Xenopus tropicalis: one gene and its partner. The protein of the gene in region 2 purifies or fractionates together with the protein of the main gene of each other region. This does not show direct contact. Links are inferred from orthologs where the notes say so. Each region holds a gene or a part of one and is shown on either strand. Other genes may lie near its edges.

What was found.
Region 1: the proteins of ppp1r10 (region 2) and tox4 purify together in Homo sapiens (affinity purification with mass spectrometry; 3 studies listed by BioGRID and IntAct, counting the BioPlex papers as one, with this or other methods). This does not show direct contact. The link is inferred for Xenopus tropicalis from reciprocal best matches to the Homo sapiens genes PPP1R10 and TOX4.

Annotation. Positions count from the first base shown.
Region 1 is NC_030677.2:141,987,960-141,997,162, forward strand, and holds the start of tox4 (TOX high mobility group box family member 4), read right to left. Parts: upstream 5,432-9,203; 5' UTR 5,417-5,431; coding exon 5,409-5,416; intron 2,929-5,408; coding exon 2,748-2,928; intron 1,063-2,747; coding exon 994-1,062; intron 542-993; coding exon 299-541; intron 1-298. Other genes in the region: rab2b (ras-related protein Rab-2B), read left to right, coding at 6,032-6,077, 9,195-9,203. UniProt on the Homo sapiens protein: Transcription factor that modulates cell fate reprogramming from the somatic state to the pluripotent and neuronal fate. In liver, controls the expression of hormone-regulated gluconeogenic genes such as G6PC1 and PCK1.
Region 2 is NC_030684.2:75,435,904-75,444,611, forward strand, and holds part of ppp1r10 (serine/threonine-protein phosphatase 1 regulatory subunit 10), read right to left. Parts: intron 7,601-8,708; coding exon 7,415-7,600; intron 6,645-7,414; coding exon 6,542-6,644; intron 5,558-6,541; coding exon 5,448-5,557; intron 5,236-5,447; coding exon 5,135-5,235; intron 4,951-5,134; coding exon 4,803-4,950; intron 4,716-4,802; coding exon 4,551-4,715; intron 4,338-4,550; coding exon 4,091-4,337; intron 3,928-4,090; coding exon 3,852-3,927; intron 3,710-3,851; coding exon 3,521-3,709; intron 1,029-3,520; coding exon 908-1,028; intron 624-907; coding exon 483-623; intron 46-482; coding exon 1-45.

The DNA of each region.
Region 1 (9,203 bases), on a different chromosome or scaffold from region 2:
TGCAAAGGAAATATAACTCTCTCTAATAAAATTAAAACAACATGAAAACAACTCTCTCAAGATTACTCCCTCCAGTGATATCTGTAGCATACCTAAGCTTATTAAGACAGAATACCACCATATCACCTCATGAATAAATAAGTACTGTTTAGGGCAAGCTTAGTAATAGTGTAACCTTGCAGTTAAACCTTTTGCTTGTGAAGATATCAGTTAGTCCTCAGGTGTAGTTTTGCATCTACATGAGTAAATGTGCCCCTCTCTAGTTAATTTATTTGGCGCAATGACAGGAAACCCTTACCATAGCCAATCCAGCTCCAAGGAGCCCTCCAGTTTGGTCCATCACTTCATGGGTCATCTCAACCGGCATGTCCAAAGTCTGTACACCATATTGTGTAGCAAAACCCTCATCCTGCACTCCAGAAGGGTCTCCAAGGTCATCAAAGTGACCAACTACATCAGATACAGCCAAGGAGGGATCAGAATCCAGAGAGATGGGTGGAATCTCAAACTCCTCATCCCCAAGGCTGGGTGTGTGAAAAGTCTGCAAAGAGATAATTTAAAAAAATAATTGCGAGCCGACAAAATGGGTTATGTTTCAAAGATGGACAAAGAGTTAACGGAGTAAAATTTCACTAGCAGAAAGATATTGTTTCATCTTGCAGGTCTGCAAATGCTGCAAACTAACTAGATTTAGGGTATGAAAATGCAAGGAGGGTCCAACAGTCAGGCATTACAAAGCAGAACATCTCTAATCTTCCTAAAAATGTACATTTGAGATACACCAGTTAAATAATTGCCTATTTTTCTTGCTGTGTTAGCAACGGCACTGGGACAAAATCAGAAACCAATCTTTTGGAATTCTTGTGAAAATCCTCATATTTATATGCTTATACCTATTTGATCAAATCATAAAGCTTACAACATTGTTCCTTCTGCAAATTCCAACAAGGTCAACACCATTCAGTAGACTTTATCCTACATCATTTCACATACCTCTGTCCCTGTAAGAAAAGGGTGTCCTGGCCCTGTGATTGTAAGGTAATTGTCGCTGCTCCCCGGAAACTGCAAGTCAGAAAGAGAAAACATAATAAGGAGAAAATAAAGGATTTTTAAAGTATGTGCCTATTCCAAACCTTCTGTGCAACTGAACCTTTTTCATAGTTCTATATAAACATTTTTGAAAGCTGTAAAATACAATGGGCACCTGTTAACAGCATGTCATGTCCTACCCTTCTTGGTACCTGAAATAAGATGCAGTTTGCACAATAAAAGTACAAGGTATTACAACAAAGAATATACAAAAGATCAAGCAGCACTCTCTCATCTGTAATGTCTCCTCCGTTCATGATAAAGATGCAGCTTTGTATATGCCTTCTTATCTTTGCAAGATGTATGCCAGGCATTCCTGCCCTGCCAGTCTCAGATCCAGCTGAATTTTTACATTCCGTGGCACTTCCTCCACATTCCTACAGGAGTGAACTGCAGTCCTTATTATGTGCCAAATTTGCATCCAGCTACTCCGGCTTTTGTGAGGGTAAATGTAGACCTATACAAACCAACCTTACAGAGCAAAGAATGACTAAGCTTAAAGGGATTTTGTCATGATTTTTATGGTATGGTACTTTTTTATTTTTAAATTAAAATAAAATAATTTTACATAGCAAATAATTCACTATCATTTAAAATGTTATTCTTGAACCAACAAATGTATTTTTTTCTAGTTGTAATATAGGCATGTAGGCAGTCATCTCAGTGCATTGTGCCTGAGTCTGAGTTTTCAGAAGGAGCCAGCGCTACACATTAGAACTGCTTTCAGATAACCTATTGTTTCTCCTACTCCCATGTAACTGGAGGAGTCCCAAGCCAGACTTGTATTTCTAACTATTGAGTGCTACTCTGATATCTACTGGGAGCTGCTATCTTACTACCTTCCCATTTTTCTGTTGATCGGCTGCTGGGAGGGGGGTTATATCACTCCAACTAGCAGCTAAGCAGTAAAGTGTGACTGAAGTTTATCAGAGCACAGGTCACATGGCTGTGGCACTCTGGGAAATGAAGAATATGGCTAGCCCAATGTAAAACTTAAAAATTAAATATAAAAAAAGTTTGTGTTTTTGAAAAACGGATTTCAATGCAGGATTCTGCTGGAGAAGCTCTATTAACAGATGCATTTTGAAAAAAAACATGTTTTCCCATGACAGTATTCCTTTATCATCCTTATCTGCCTGCAGCCTGCAGTTCTATAGTACCATGACATAAACGCTGTCCATACAGAACATTTTGGGTAAATTAACCTCAACCTTAGGGTAAGAACCCACAGAGGTTCAGTCGCCTGTGATAGATCTCTGCTATCATGGGCAACAATCCTCTCTGAAATAGCTTTCCACCAGCAACAATAGAAGTCAGGCGACGAAACCGCTCCATGGGTCCTTACCCTAAAGGATTTTTAGAAGAAACTTTGTGCATATCATGTTATCTAAAATGCAAATAAGATGTGCATATAAAGCTGTGACTCTCAAACCTTAATTTGAAGTGTTTTTGTAGTGCTTGTCAACAACTGGTCTGCAATTTTTTGTTACACACATAAAATCAGTTATTGATGAAGAAATATTACCAACATACTGGAAATTTGAGCACTTAAAACATGCATTTAATAATACTAATACTTTTTACATATAGAATAAAACAATCTTATATAATACATCTTAGCAATGCTGTAGCACCCACATTTTGTTAGTGTGTCTCACCTTGCTATACCCATACACTCCATAGAGAGGCTGAGAGTGGAGCAAACCTGGCATATCAATGGAGCATGGAGCTCCCTCATCTCCTGTAAATAGCATGTGGTGGCCAGGGAGGCCCCCATCACTGCCATCTGTGTCCAAACCAGAAAATAGGTGTAGGTCCATGAGTCGAAGAGCTAGCCCCCTACAGAGCACACAACACTTCAGTTACACAAGGGATAATGACCTCAAGCACAGATTGAACTATAGCATCAACTATCCCAAAGCTAATGACTGAAGAAAGGTTGAGAGTTGCACAGCAAGAAAGCTACAGGTTAGATTCTGATGAGTCTGTGGGAAGCAAAACCTTTCACTACCTAGTAACACAACACCCAACAACAAACACCACAATTTGCAAACCATATGAAGCCTACATTATAGTTGAATGAAACAGTCTATGTTTTGAGGAGCACAACATTAATGCAAGCTGTGTAATGCAAAGATCAGGTAAATACATAGGGGCAGATTTACCAAGACACAAACGCTCGGAGCGTTCATTCAAACGCTCTGAGCATATTTTCATCTAATTTTCCTGCTGTTTACAATCGCTCAGTACGAAAATTTCGTGACTTTCGAATTGCCAATACGATATTATCATGACTAATATGATTTTTCCGTAAGCATATTTGTGATATTTGCGATCTTCAGAAATGATCGTATCCAATCCGAATTTATCCCATTTGGGATTCGAACTCACGTTTTCATGAATGTGCCCCATAATTATGTGACACTAAGGACCGCTGGTCTATCTGAGGCGTTAAGCACTCAATGGTAGGTCCCAATTTCATGGTGCCAAACAAAACCACAAAGCCAACACAAAGATAGGCACTCAGTTCACGAAACAGGCAAACCACAACAAGGTTTTTTCTCCCGAAGGAAAGAGGCATCACCAACACAAAGTCTATTGATCCTCAAATCATGCAAATTCTTAAATTTTTTCATTTTGTGGTCTAACATTTAGCCAGGACCCCTCAGCTCATAACAAGAGGGCAGATACATGGGATCTTTTATACAGAAACCCGTTATGTAGAAAGTTCCAAATTACGTGAAGGCCATCTCACAGACTGCATTATGAGCAAATCATTTTTAAAAATTAGAATTATTTCATTTTTCTCTGTAACAATAAAACAGTACCTTGTACTTGTTCCTTACTAAGATATAATTAATCCTTATTGGAGGCAAAACAATCCTATAGGGTTTATTTAATATTTAAATTATTTTTAGTAGGCTTACGGTATAGAGACCCAAATTACAGAAAGACCCCTTATCTTTTCCCATGACCAAAAATACACTTTTTGGTCACTACAGGGCGGCTTCTTAGCCTGCAGATAAATGGCAGAGGCAGAGAATTCGCCCGTACGCTTCAAGAAGCTTATGGACGTGCATGCACCTGTAATCGCATCAGTCCACAGGCACCGGATTTCCCTACAAAAACTGCAAGTATGCAGTTACGTGTGGAAATCCACTCTGTGTGCAAGCAGAGAATCCACCCCGTGTGGCAGGAGCCTAAGTGCTCTCATACTTCACTGCATTAACTTGAGGGAAAAAAAAAAATTGTATTTTAAGGGAAGTCACCCTTTTTTGGAACAACAAAAGCAATTTTTAAATACGCATTATGAATCACATCAGAGTTATTTACAAAGTACTTGCTATTAAAAGCAGAATCTGTCTGTTTTCTGCACTGCTGCTTTTGCTTTCAATTGTAATTACATTTACAAATAGCTTTAAATTAATTGAAAATGTTTAATTAATGTATAGTGAAATGTTTAACATCTTTCATTATGCAACAAAAGTTGGAGAGATTCCCCTTTAAATTGATCACACCCTTTTCTTTATTCCATTTTTCACTTCATGTCTAAGTTAGCTAACTAAAGGTATAATTTCTCTATATTTTTGCTCTGATCAATGGTTAGCACTCTGCTTGTATGAAAAGACCAAAGAATTTTCCTGTGAAATAAAATGCTGCACTGCCTCCTATTAAAACAAGTTACAATGACAACTGTTACAGCATTCAATAATTATATAAAAGCAATATTTTATTAATCACAGAAACATTGCTGCTAATTATGCAAACACTTCTGAGGCTGCTGCTGCAGAGGGGGGGGGCTCCTTTGCTTTCATGTATCTGTAACCTTATTATGAACTAAGGGGCGCTCTGGCCAAGTTAGATCTCATGCATGAACTAAGAAACTCAAACAACCACTGTCCAGTGAGTGAAGAAAGAACATGTAACTGATCTATTACAGCATCTTGCCATATAAAAGTAAATAAACCACAAATGACCCTTCTCTGGCTTCTGAATAACAGCATTCATCTCTATAACATTTTACTATTAGTGACACAGACAATAACAAATAGAAGCTTCCATGTTAATGCTGGCAGTAAACAAGCTGTTTCACCACAGATACAAATAATAATAGTAATTTCAATTCACAGTACAAGGAATGCAAGTCTTCTATCAGGCACATCACTCTCAAAGAAACACATTACTTATCCACAACCCCATAGCCAATATAAATATTCAATTGACAGGAACCTGTTACCACTGAAACGAAACCCCCAACACAACACGTTCTGAAGAAACTATAAGTATTGGCACCAGGGGATTAGAGATACTTGACGCACCGCGACATAATAACAACTACATTGTACGATCTTTAAATGCTACACGTTTTCTGTGTTTGATCCGCAGGAACTATAGTTCCCTTCTCGCCACTTCATTAACCTGCTCTAATGGCCCACATAATCTGCGTTTTGAAAATCACCACCAACACGCATACGGAATCAAACTAGCTGTATACCGCGTTAAAACCGAAACTAACACAATAAAATACGTAATTTACCCAACTCACCTCCATTTTCACGGCCTGAGACTCTTCTTCTTTTCAAGCACACTTCCCCGCCTCTACAAAGATGGCGAGACATCCGCTTCCGGTAAAAGCAGCGAAGCCATATTGGTACAGTAATGCTGCTACTCATTCCTCCTATAGTATAACAATAGGATGTGAGGCAGCCATAGAGACTATTCATTAGAATGCTACACGTATCGAATACAAAAGAGCGAACATCCGGCTTAGTAAAGAACGTCGCTACAAGCCGTACACCAGATAGAGAGTCTTTTCCGGAAGCAATAGAGATGAGACTGCGTGGCAAGAACGTCTCTCTGGGAGCTCTAGTTAGAGTAAGGCAGTTCAAAGGAAGCCTCCTCCCCGTAATCACCTGCCTTGGTGGCTCTGACGATTGCCATCATGTCGTATGCCTACCTCTTCAAGTATATCATTATTGGTGATACAGGTGCGTACGTATTTTAAATGATTTTATCTATCGGTTTACGAATATTGGGTGCTATTATTATGCTCTTGTAACCTTGATGCTTTTTAATTTTATTTTGTGTATTAAATATAAAATCATGCATATGCTAGCATAAAATGAGAATATTCCGAGTTTATGTACAATAATATATTATTTTTAAATAGCAGCTCTTGGTGTTCTGTTTTGCAGATGTTTTTCAAATTTGTATGCAATTACAGATTTGTGTATATGTATATATCTTTGTATTTATACAGGTAATGTTAGGAGCCACATCATTAAATATTATAGAGGCACATTGCAATTTGTGTATCACTTATAACAGTGATGGGTAGTTTTAAAGCTGAGTTGCCAGAGCCCCATATTTTCTCCATGAATAATCAGAAAGAGTGCACATATTTCATGTTAGTGATAATGCAATACAATGCATTTTATTACATTAAGAGCCGTATTTCCTACAGTTTAACTTTATAGAAACAGAGTAACACATGATAGGTTGGCTAAATAATAATTTAAAGGTGAACTCGAAAAAAAACTGTTTTTGTTTTGAATAAAGACAGAAAATGCAATGCAGCTTTTCAATAAACATAGAATACTTTTTTTGTATGGTTTTAAATAGTAGCTTATGAAAGCAGTATTATCCAACTCTTTCTGCCTTGCTGGCCTGATTGCAGAAGCCAGCTGATTAACACCCCTGGAGGGGAACTCACCTCTGCTACATGGTTGCAGGAATAAGAATCAGAGAACAGAAAAGGATAAACACATATTGCCTTCAGTAGTGATTTCACTGGTTTTGATGTTATTTGCAAATGTAATCTTTTAATCCATATAGGTTGAGGTAATGCTTGGAATTACAACTCCTTTCATTTTGTAAAAACAGTTTTGTGGATTTTCTCTTTAATCACTGTCTTTAGTTTTTATAAGTGGCAATGAAATTATTTTACGCTATGTGCATGTATAGTAGTATCTCCAGGTTCTCCTTAATCTGTGGTGTAGCAGACTAAGGCCTCCTTACTGTATAATAACCTAGTGCATGGTACTGCAGAAAAGTAAAAAAATGATGCTTTTAGCATATCTGATTTTTATATCTCTTTGCTATTCCCCCATATCTACCCTTATTACATATTTGCATGCAATCAAATAAGTACATAGATGAATGTGATAGCTGCAGTGATTTTCAAGTGTTTAGGAAATCTTCCACCCCTCCAAAAAATAAAAACAGTGCACAAAAGCCAAGGTAAATTTCAGACAAAGGGAGTGATGATGCTATTAAAAACCTGGTAAAGACTGAGGGAACCAGTGGCCTGAGATACAAGGAGAGATACAGATATTGTACCAGGGACTATAAGCCTCCATGATGGTTCTGTGAAATTAATTTTTTTTATAGGAAGAAAGTATGACATTTTAATTAAATAGGCTGTGCATAAGACAATAAAGGGGTTTGTAACGTGTGTTACTAAGGTGAAGTGCAATAAGCAGGGGCGTTAGTTTTGGTTGGTGGGCAAATGGGGTTGTTAGAAATGTTTTCCTAATCTAAAGTTGAGGAATATGGTTAGTAGGGAGAGAGTTAGGTGAAATACTAAACTGGAAAGTTTGATTTTCTGTGTGCTTATTAACCAGTCAGTTTTATAGTGGTGTATTGAACCTTCAGGCAGCTAGGTAAAAGCAGCAAGGCAAACAGGAACTCAATATCTGTGAGCTGGCCTCTCAGCTGGAGTAAATCCTTAGAAGGCCTCCTCAATGCAGCCATATTAGAAGTAACTGAAACAGCAGCTTCATGCAGCTATTAATTCTGAGAACAACCACAACTTCATGCCTGCCAGGTGATACACTGTAGCTGAAGACTAAAGAGGTTAATGTAATAGCAGGTACAATGTTTCCTGCAGGTATAGATGTTTGCTTTACAACAGCAGATGAGTGAATGCTACCTGCTAGCAGGTAATTAGAAGTGGAGAAAACTATAGTTCTAATCTATTACCACCCAAAGTAAAATAATAATAGTAATTTGTTTGCAGATATATTTATTTTGCTGAATGCCAGTTGGGTGGTAAATCCAAACTGGATACAGCTCAGTGTCACACTCTGTTAGGGCAGTGACCCACAGAGCTACTTTTAGCCAGCTATTTGGCGTGGCTACAATATAGGCAATACTGATAATTGTCTCTACGTGTGTTTTAGCAGAGAAAATTTTCAGTATTGTCTATGGCAGGGTATTTTCTGGTGATTTGTAGCTGTGACAAGTAGCTTTATGTCATAGCCTCTAAAATTACAGCCCCCAGAATAACATACCTTTCGCTCTGCATGCAGATTTATTTTGTTGCTCTATTACAAGCAGCTGAACTGTATCCCTTTACCGACTGCCTTGTCTTGCATAAAACTCTGCCCCCTTTCCCTTATTGAGCACTCCTTCTTTAGCAGATTATGCAGACCTATACTGGGCATGCTCACTGCGCCTGCTTCAGTTTAAATCAATAATGCATGCACAGTAGGCACCTCTTTGAGGTCATTTATTGTTTGATATGGAAGGAGGCATCATCTTTTCAGGGTATAGAACAATGTTTGCTTGCTAACTGTTTGTGTAATGTGTACATATATAAAATGTTATAATGCACGAAGTGCATTTCCTCTGGTTTCGACCCGTTGAGCACATATCGGTACAATACAATTTTGCTTTTTAATATAATCTGGTTCAGTGTTATAAATGTGTGCTGGTTATTATACAAGTGCTTACCAAACGAGTGAATGTGCAAAGTTCTGTGTTTTTGCTCACAGTGCACCTGGTACCCCCACCTTTACACCCTCTACTGCCATTATTGATGCAAGGTTGTGTTTCTGACACTTGCACTTGCTGTCTGCCACACAAGTTTTAAATGCAGGTCTCCCTGCTAACAACATTGCAGCCAGTGCAAGGACACAGAATGCAGCCATTATGCACATGGCTAAATCACTATATGAATGTGTACATTTTTACACATTAGCACAAATAGCATATGCGTTTAGCATAAGTGACCCCTATGGTGTTTGTACCAGCGTGTATATATGTATATAATTTCTACTATTTGTAGTGTTTGTATACATACTTACATTTCATTTTTTTCATAGGTGTGGGAA
Region 2 (8,708 bases):
GAGGTGGCCCCATCATGCGTGGACCACCTGGAGGACCATGTGGTCCTATATAAAAGGGGAGGGGGAAAAAAAAAACAAAAAAAAAAAAAACACATTTATGTTGTTTAGAATACCTGCTGTGCTTATACACCTATTTTTAACTTTTAACATTGCTTATCATTAATGATGGGGAGGGCAGCAAATTGCAAAAATAAAGGGACATGTTAGAATCCCTTGATACGACCTTTCAGAAAAACAAGCATGATGTAGGAAATAGCATTTTACAACAATTTTAAATTGATCAGCAATTGTGTTTAATCAATTTCAATTGTTCTGCACTTTGGCATTTGAACTATTATCTGGTTGTTTGGGTCAATGATCACACTGGGAGACCCAGAGACAGAAGAGAGGTAATATAGAGAGTAAAAAAAATTAAATAAATTGAAGACAGGTTGTAAAATGTTTTGTAATTGTATGTGATTTAATTTGGCAAGCATGCTTACCTTGAAATGGTCCATTGGGACCTGGTGGAGGGTAATGCTGAGGTGGTGGTTGATGATGTGGAGGTGGTGGCTGATGGTTTTTTGGAGCTGCAGGAGGAAAGCCATTATTAACTGCAACTGGTCCCTGTGATCCTTGTCCAGCTGTAAAAAAAAAGATTATTCTTTATTTACATAACACTATAAAATTCCGGAATGATTTGAAGAGATTGTATAAAATTCAAATCAGTACAGGCTTGTTTACAATCTTAGGCTTTATTGCATTTTCACACACACACACACACACACACACACACAATGGTCAATTTTATCAGGGTCCAAATGCCCTTCAAAAGTACATGGGGGTTACCCATTTAAGCACAGAGAGTCACTGCATACAGAACTAAAATCAGAAACTAGTCTGTGAGCCCCATTGTTCATAGACTTACCTGGCCCTGGTGGACCTTGGTTCTGATTTTGATTCTGCAAAGAGCCCAGTAGTTGCTTGATCTTGTCTGAAAAATCTGGCTGCTTCATTAGGTCCTCTGGTTTTGCATTACCTTGGGCACCCTACAAGTAAAAAGAAGCAATACATAAAATTAGGAGTTACCAATTTTTAAAAAAACAAAAAACAAAACACATTTCACACCATATCAAGGGGTTGAACCTGTGGGTATTAGTGACCATAACGTTATTTCATTTAAGGTTTGGTGCAGGAAACAAATATACGCTGGGGCAACAAAGACCCTAAAGTTTAGAAAAGCAAGTTTTAGTTCCAGTGATTCAGAGCATAGATTGGGGCAGAAATGGTTGTCATTTAAAATGATATTAAATCATTACTGTTCTCAATTTATTCCATTAATAAGAAAATGTAGAAGTGTTAATAATCACCCTATGTGGCTTAATTCTGAGGTACAGAAGTTAATAGGGAAAAAGGGAAAGCTTTTAAGAAATTCAGAGGGCACAGAAACTGCATTTAATGAATATAAACACTATAAAAGTGTTGTAAAACAGCAATTTGGAAGGCAAAAATTGAAAATGAGGAGTGCATTAATAGTAAAAAGATGCAAGTTGAGGGTGTGGCCCCATTGATTTATAGTAACAATATTGTTACAGTGGATACAGAAAAGGCAGATGTGCAAAACACCAGTTCTTTTCTTCTGTGTACACAGTAGAGGAGCCAGAGTGCCAAGTCCCACCCAATAGCTGCACTGTTGCCTCAGCTCCAACTACACAGTGGTTGACGGAGGATTTGGTGCATAAAGGGTTACACAAGATTAACGTGAACAAGGCACCTGGGCCAGATGGAACATACCCTCGGGTACTGAGAGAGCTAGGGGCTAGTTTTACAGTGGCCTCTGTTTCTGGTGTTGTCAGACTCTCTTTCATCTGGTATAGATACCTATGGATTGGAAAAAGGCTAATTTCATTCCTATATTTAAAAAGGGAGTAAGATCTCAGCCTGGCAATTATAGGCCAGTAAGTTTGACATCCGTAGTGGGCAAGTTATTTGAGGGCTTGTTAAGGGATGACATACAAAATTATGTACTCGAGAATGGCATTATGAGCAGTAATCAGCATGGCTTTATGAAGGACAGGTCATGTTAGACCAATTTAATTGCTTTTTATGATGAGGTTAGTAAGAAGCTGGACAGTGGGGGTGCAGTAGATGTGATCTATTTGGATTTTACCAAAGCACCCACAAACAACTGCTTTCTAAACTAAGGTCTGTTGGTCTTCGTGAAGTCGTTTGCACATGAATAGAAAACTGGCCACAGGATCGGGTAAAGAGGGTGGCGGTTAATGAAACATTCTCTACTGGGAGTAAGGTTCTCAGTGGGGTCCCTCAGGGTTCTTTACTAGGTCCACTTTTGTTTAACTTGTTCATAAATGACTTAGGGGAGGGTATTATAAGCAATGTATCAGTGTTTGCAGATGACACAAAACTCTGCAGACCAGTCAATTCTAATCAGGATCTGGCATCTTTGCAGCAGGATCTTGACAACCTGGCAATCTGGGCAGCTAAGTGGCAGATGAGATTTAATGTGGATAAATGTAAGTTCATGCACCTGGGATGTAAAAATATACCCTTAATGGGACTGCACTAGGCAAATCCATAATGGAGAAGGACCTTGGAGTCCTTGTAGATAATAAACTTGGCTGTAGCAAGCAATGCCAGGCAGCAGCTGCAAGGGCAAACAAGGTTTTGAGCTGTATTAAAAGGAGTATAGATTTACTGGAGGGGGGTGTTATTCTTCCCCTTTATAGAACGCTGGTAAGGCCCCATCTAGAATATGCTGTTCAGTTTTGGTCTCCAGTGCTCAAACGGGACATTATTGAATCAGAGAGGGTCCAGAGAAGGGCAACTGAAGAAAGACTGGCCAAGTTGGGTCTGTTTACACTGGAGAAGAGGCGCTTAAGAGGTGATGTGATAATTATGTATAAATATATAAGGGGATAATATAATAACCTCTCTAATGCTTTATTTGCCAGTTGGTCCTTCCAACTGACATGAGGGCACCCACTCTGTTTAGAAGAATGGAGGTTCTGTTTAAATATTCGGAAAGGATTTTGTTACTATGAGAGCTGTGAAGGTGTGGAATTCCCTCCCCAAATACATTATATAGCTTGGATGAGATCTTAGCAAGTGAGGGAATACAGGGTTATGGGAGATAGCTGTAGTACAAAGTTGATCCAGGGACAGGTCCGAAAATTTTTTTTTCCCCTCTGCGGCAAATTAGAGAGGCTTCAGATGGGTTTTTTTTGCCTTCCTCTGGATCAATTAGCAGTTAGGCAGGTTATATATAAGGCATTGTGGTTGAATGTGATGGACTGTCTTTTTTCAACCTAACTTACTTGCTATGTTACATGAATGCAGTTTTAGCTTAAATATGCAATGCAGATGTTCCCACAACATATTCTATACAAAACTCCTGAAATGCAGTGTCAGTACCATTATACTGGTATAAACAGAAGCTAAATCCCAAGATGGCCAAGTTGCTATCTCACATATGCTGATAAAGATAACACATTGAATGCAGCTATATTATTGGACTGCTCACCATTATGGATGTCAGTATTTCCTGCATAGTTCCTGGCAAAGGGTTAGGTTGTGTTTTGGAACTTCCCATGCTTCCCATTAGGTTAGCAAGGACAGGTGGAAGTTTTGCTCCACCTGATAAGTCTGGAGACTGAGATGCAAGGCTCTGGTCCATGGGTTCAGGGTAAACAGCATCATCCATTGAGCAATCCTAAAATAAAAAGGAAAAAGAAGGAAACATGTTAAAATGTGAGGTGCCTCCTTAATACTTTTGGCATACTCCATGATTTTATCCAGTACCTAAACCAGACATTAAGCTTACACTAGAATTATCTTAGTCTGTAATAACTTACCTCATCTAGAGGTATAAGTTTAGGAGGTGATGGTTCATATGATTCAGGGTCAGGTTCATGGGGTGTATCAGGAACACTGCAGCAAACAGATAAACAAGATGTATTTGTTTAAAAAATTACTGTCTGCCATTCAGAAAAAAATGAAGGAAAACATTTCACAATCATTTATTTATTTTATACAACAGCGATTAAACTTTTGTATAAAGGATGTAGACAAAAATTGCATTTGCCATTCTCACCTCTCCTTAGACAGAAAGATCTCCTGGAGAATACCCATTTCTCTTTCTGCCTGTGTGTGCTTTTCTGTGCTGTTACTTCCCATTTGCACCAAAGCCCCAGGAAGATTGAGAAGCCGAGGTGGTACCCAAGGAATGGTCTCCTCCATATTATCATGACTAAGGCGACGTGCGTTTTGAAAAGCTTGCCGGTCCTTTAACATCTCCCGCTTTGCTGCTTCACCAAAGTCTTTAATCTTGTTTACATTGACTGGAAAAGCATAAAGGTGTTTTTATTTTTAAGGCCCAATACATTAGTATTAATGGATACCATGATGTAAACTGCTCTCTTTTTCAAGAGTACAAATATCAATATCAAAGACACTGTAGACTTGTTCATCTTACTGTATATACTAAAAAAAAGTTGTGCTTGTGAGATTACTTAACAGTGGAAACAATATCTCATTAAGAGAACAGCACTAACCTCTCTCAGTTTCATCCAGCTCAAAATAGAAGTATTCCCTGAGGCGGCTCTCTTCAGGCCAACTGACTGTTTTCCTTTTCTTCCCTTTCTTGGTCAACTGAGAAGCATCAGCTTCAGTAGGCTTGGTTTCAGAGGGCACAGGAGGAGGTGGTGTTGATGCAGAAGCTGTAAAAAATCAATTAGATTGTAAAGAACAAAATAATTGCAAAAGGAGAAGTAAAATGCCAACATTGAGATAAAACAGAGTCTTACTTTCCATGGGCTCTGGGAGTTCAACAGCTGGAACTGGTGTTCCTGGACGCTCCACTTCCATTCCTTCTACTGGGGGCTCTGGCTCAGGCGATGAAGGTTTGGCGATACTACTTCCTTCAGCTGGGCACTTGCTATCAAACGGACTGGGCTTTTGGAAAAGACAGTGCACATTATTCTACATTAGAAAAGCTGTAAATTCATAGGCATGATAAGGTTCCCTGGTGTAACCATCTATTAAATCAGTGGAAAGAAGGTACTAGGTGTTTGTTATATTGTTTACTTAAAATCAGATGGATAACCGAGGCTACCAGAATTTTTTTTTAGTTACATACCTTATTACCAGTAGGTGAACTACCCTTCTTTTTCTTCTTGATTTTTATTCCAGGAACAGGGGCTGAATTTAATGCATCTAAAAATCCCAAACTCTCCATGGCTGCAAATTAAAATAGAAAAAAGTGCAGTTAAATATAGTTTTCTTTTTTTAATAATGATGATAATCTGTACAATGGCCTGTTAAAAGTCTGATTAGAATTGAGGTGATGGTACAGAGTTTTTAAATTTAAAGGAAGAGCACATGTAGAGTCAGTGGTATGATAGCTAGGGTAAAGGTAATGGCACAAGTAAACAGATTTAAAAAGAACTTACGCTGTGGTGGAATTATCTTGACCTTAATTTCTTTAGTAGTGTTAGGAACTGTGTTCAGAGGTTTGTATTTTTTCTCTGCTGGAGCTGCATCACCAGGAACTGGAACTGAACTAAGAAAGCAAAAAATGGTGTTAAAAACTAATCAACAACTCGTTAAGCAATCATGATACAAGCTGTTAAACTGCAAAGGAAATTTAATACAGCATCCGTTTTGCAGGGCCATTCAGTGCTTTTTAAAAGATTTTCTACAGCTGGTATTCTAAAACCAGTAAAAGCACTCATTATGGCAAGTTTATCAACCAATATTTATGGCCATACCAATATCATTTCTGTTACTTCAATATTATCACATGCCTTTTCTTAATTTTTCATGTTACTGCATATCCCGTAGGAAATTATTGTTCCACATGTTTTCATTGCCAGTATAATCTTCCAATCTTAATGTTTAGTCTGTAGCTTCCCTGGTTTCTAACTTATCACAGCTTTGCTTTTTTGCCAGCATTCAGGGCCAGGCCAACATGTAAGAGTGCCCAAGGCAAACCCCACCAGCCATCACACACACTGCCCTACTTGGCTTCTCTGACCTTAGCCCCCCAACCCCATGCTCTCTGCAACCCTGTCTCCACCCTCCCAGCATTCAGTACCTCTGCTTCTGTAACAAAAATGTCCTGTGCAAAGTGGGAACCACTTAATTCTCTTAAGCCAGAATGTGCTTCCTGATCCCGATTTTTGTGCCAGTATATACACAAACAGCATGCTCATGTCCTATTTGGAGGCCACTGCTGAACAAATTTAAATATAAAGCAGGAGCTGAAAAAGTAAGCAAGAAGAGGCATGGCTGTCTGTGCCCCCTATTTTCAGTGACATAGGCAGCTCCACTTTTGCCAGCATTTGTTCACCTATCTCCTGCTAAGATTACTTTTTCACCTTAGCAAATTCAATTTTAACAGACAATTCCAAAAAGCCACATCATCTCTGTCTAAAGGACAACAGAACCAGGACTGCTCTTTGTGTATGGACTAAGTAAATAACTTGATCATGTCTACTAATTTGGCAAAGACCAAGTAGTTTTCACAAAAATATGGTTTTCCTACCTCGGTCTCTTTACAGGAACTGGTTTCAAATACTTGTCAGACAGGACCGGAACAGGTGTAGGTTTCTTAACAGGAACAAGTGACGGAGCTTCTACTTCAAGACCTAAAAAAACAGTGAACCTTTGTTTACAAAAAACAAACTCTATGTCTGTGCTATCCCCCACTTCACTTATACAAAAGCTTTCCTCTACAACAAATGATTCTAAAATTATTTTAACTTCTTCCATGTGGTCGGACAGCTATCGACTGACTAAATTACCAATTTAAACAGTATTTCAACCTTTGGAAGTATCATGCCACAATGAACCCAGAGTAATAGACAATCAGCTCTCCTCACTTGGCTAAAGTGTTGAAAGGTAGTAAGTGCTGCTGGGCTAGCGACAAAATGTGATACAAAAAAGTTGTGCAGTGCTGCATGATTAGTTATGTTGACATGTTCCTTATAGTCATACCAATGTGTTTATCAGTTTCAGTTTATCACTTATAGGGCAGAACGTTTGATATAAGGCATAACAAAACTGTGGTGTAAAGGTGATACCTTTATTGGCTAACCAGGATGATAATCACAGCAAACTTTCAGAACAATTCAGTTTCTTCTTCAAAGCTCATTTTACGCTATAACTATTTCAACTGGCTTAACATGGTACTAAAAAATTACCTGGGACATTTTCAAAGAATAACCCAAGAATATAGAAATCTGCATGAACAATAATGGCTTATATTCATTCAGAAATGGTAAAAATTACAAAAAATATATACACTACATTTGAGGAACTGAACTAATATGTGGTAACCAAGTTAACAAAGATGAGAGCAGACAAGTAGCTGTTGATGAATTGAAATATGCAAGAAATGTGGTGTGGTTTGCTTTACCAGTGGATCTAAATTTTGCATGACTTGGGGCTGTTGTACGCAGAGTTTTGGGCTTCTCCTTTTTTTTTTCTCCACCATCCTCTGCTTTAGCTTCAGATTTCGCTTCTAAGGTCTTGTCAAGGACTGGGCTGCGGGCTTTAGGATCCTCTTTTTTCTTTTTCTTCTCTTTATCTATGAGGAGGAGGCCTGGATTAGTGTTTAAATAAGGAGGACATGTATTGAAAAATTATTTTACCTAGACACAGGGCAGAACAATAAAAGAGGTAGATTAGCAACAGCTAATAACAGCTCCAGCTATAACTTGCTGCTACTTTATAAATACTGATGATGATGATTTATTTCACAGAATATAGTAAACTATCTTGGATGCACCCCGTTTTTAACAAGAGGATATACACACAGATGGAGAACAAAAGTTGAATACATTAAAAATGTTTCTATACAAATTGTAAGCCACCGTTAGTACATGTACTTAATCATAGCATCTACAAACCGGATTCCAAAAAAGTTGGGACACTAAACAAATGGTCAATAAAAATCACGGAACAAAAGTTTAAACTGAGAAAATGTACCATTTTAAGGGAAAAATATGTTGATTCAGAATTTCACGGTGTCAACAAATCCCAAAAAAGTTGGGACAAGGCCATTTTCACCACTGTGTGGCATCTCCCCTTCTTCTTACAACACTCAACAGACGTCTGGGGACCGAGGAGACCAGTTTCTCAAGTTTAGGAATAGGAATGCTCTCCCATTCTTGTCTAATACAGGCCTCTAACTGTTCAATCGTCTTGGGCCTTCTTTGTCGCACCTTCCTCTTTATGATGCGCCAAATGTTCTCTATAGGTGAAAGATCTGGACTGCAGACTGGCCATTTCAGTACCCAGATCCTTCTCCTACGCAGCCATGATGTTGTGATTGATGCAGAATGTGGTCTGGCATTATCTTGTTGAAAAATGCAGGGTCTTCCCTGAAAGAGATGACGTCTGGATGGGAGCATATGTTGTTCTAGAAACTGAATATATTTTTCTGCATTGATACTGCCTTTCCAGACATGCAAGCTGCCCATGCCACATGCACTCATGCAACCCCATACCATCAGAGATGCAGGCTTCTGAACTGAGCGTTGATAACAACTTGGGTTGTCCTTGTCCTCTTTGGTCCGGATGACATGGCGTCCCAGATTTCCAAAAAGAACTTCGAATCGTGACTCGTCTGACCACAGTCTTCCATTTTGCCACACTCCATTTTAAATGATCCCTGGCCCAGTGAAAACGCCTGAGCTTCTGGATCTTGC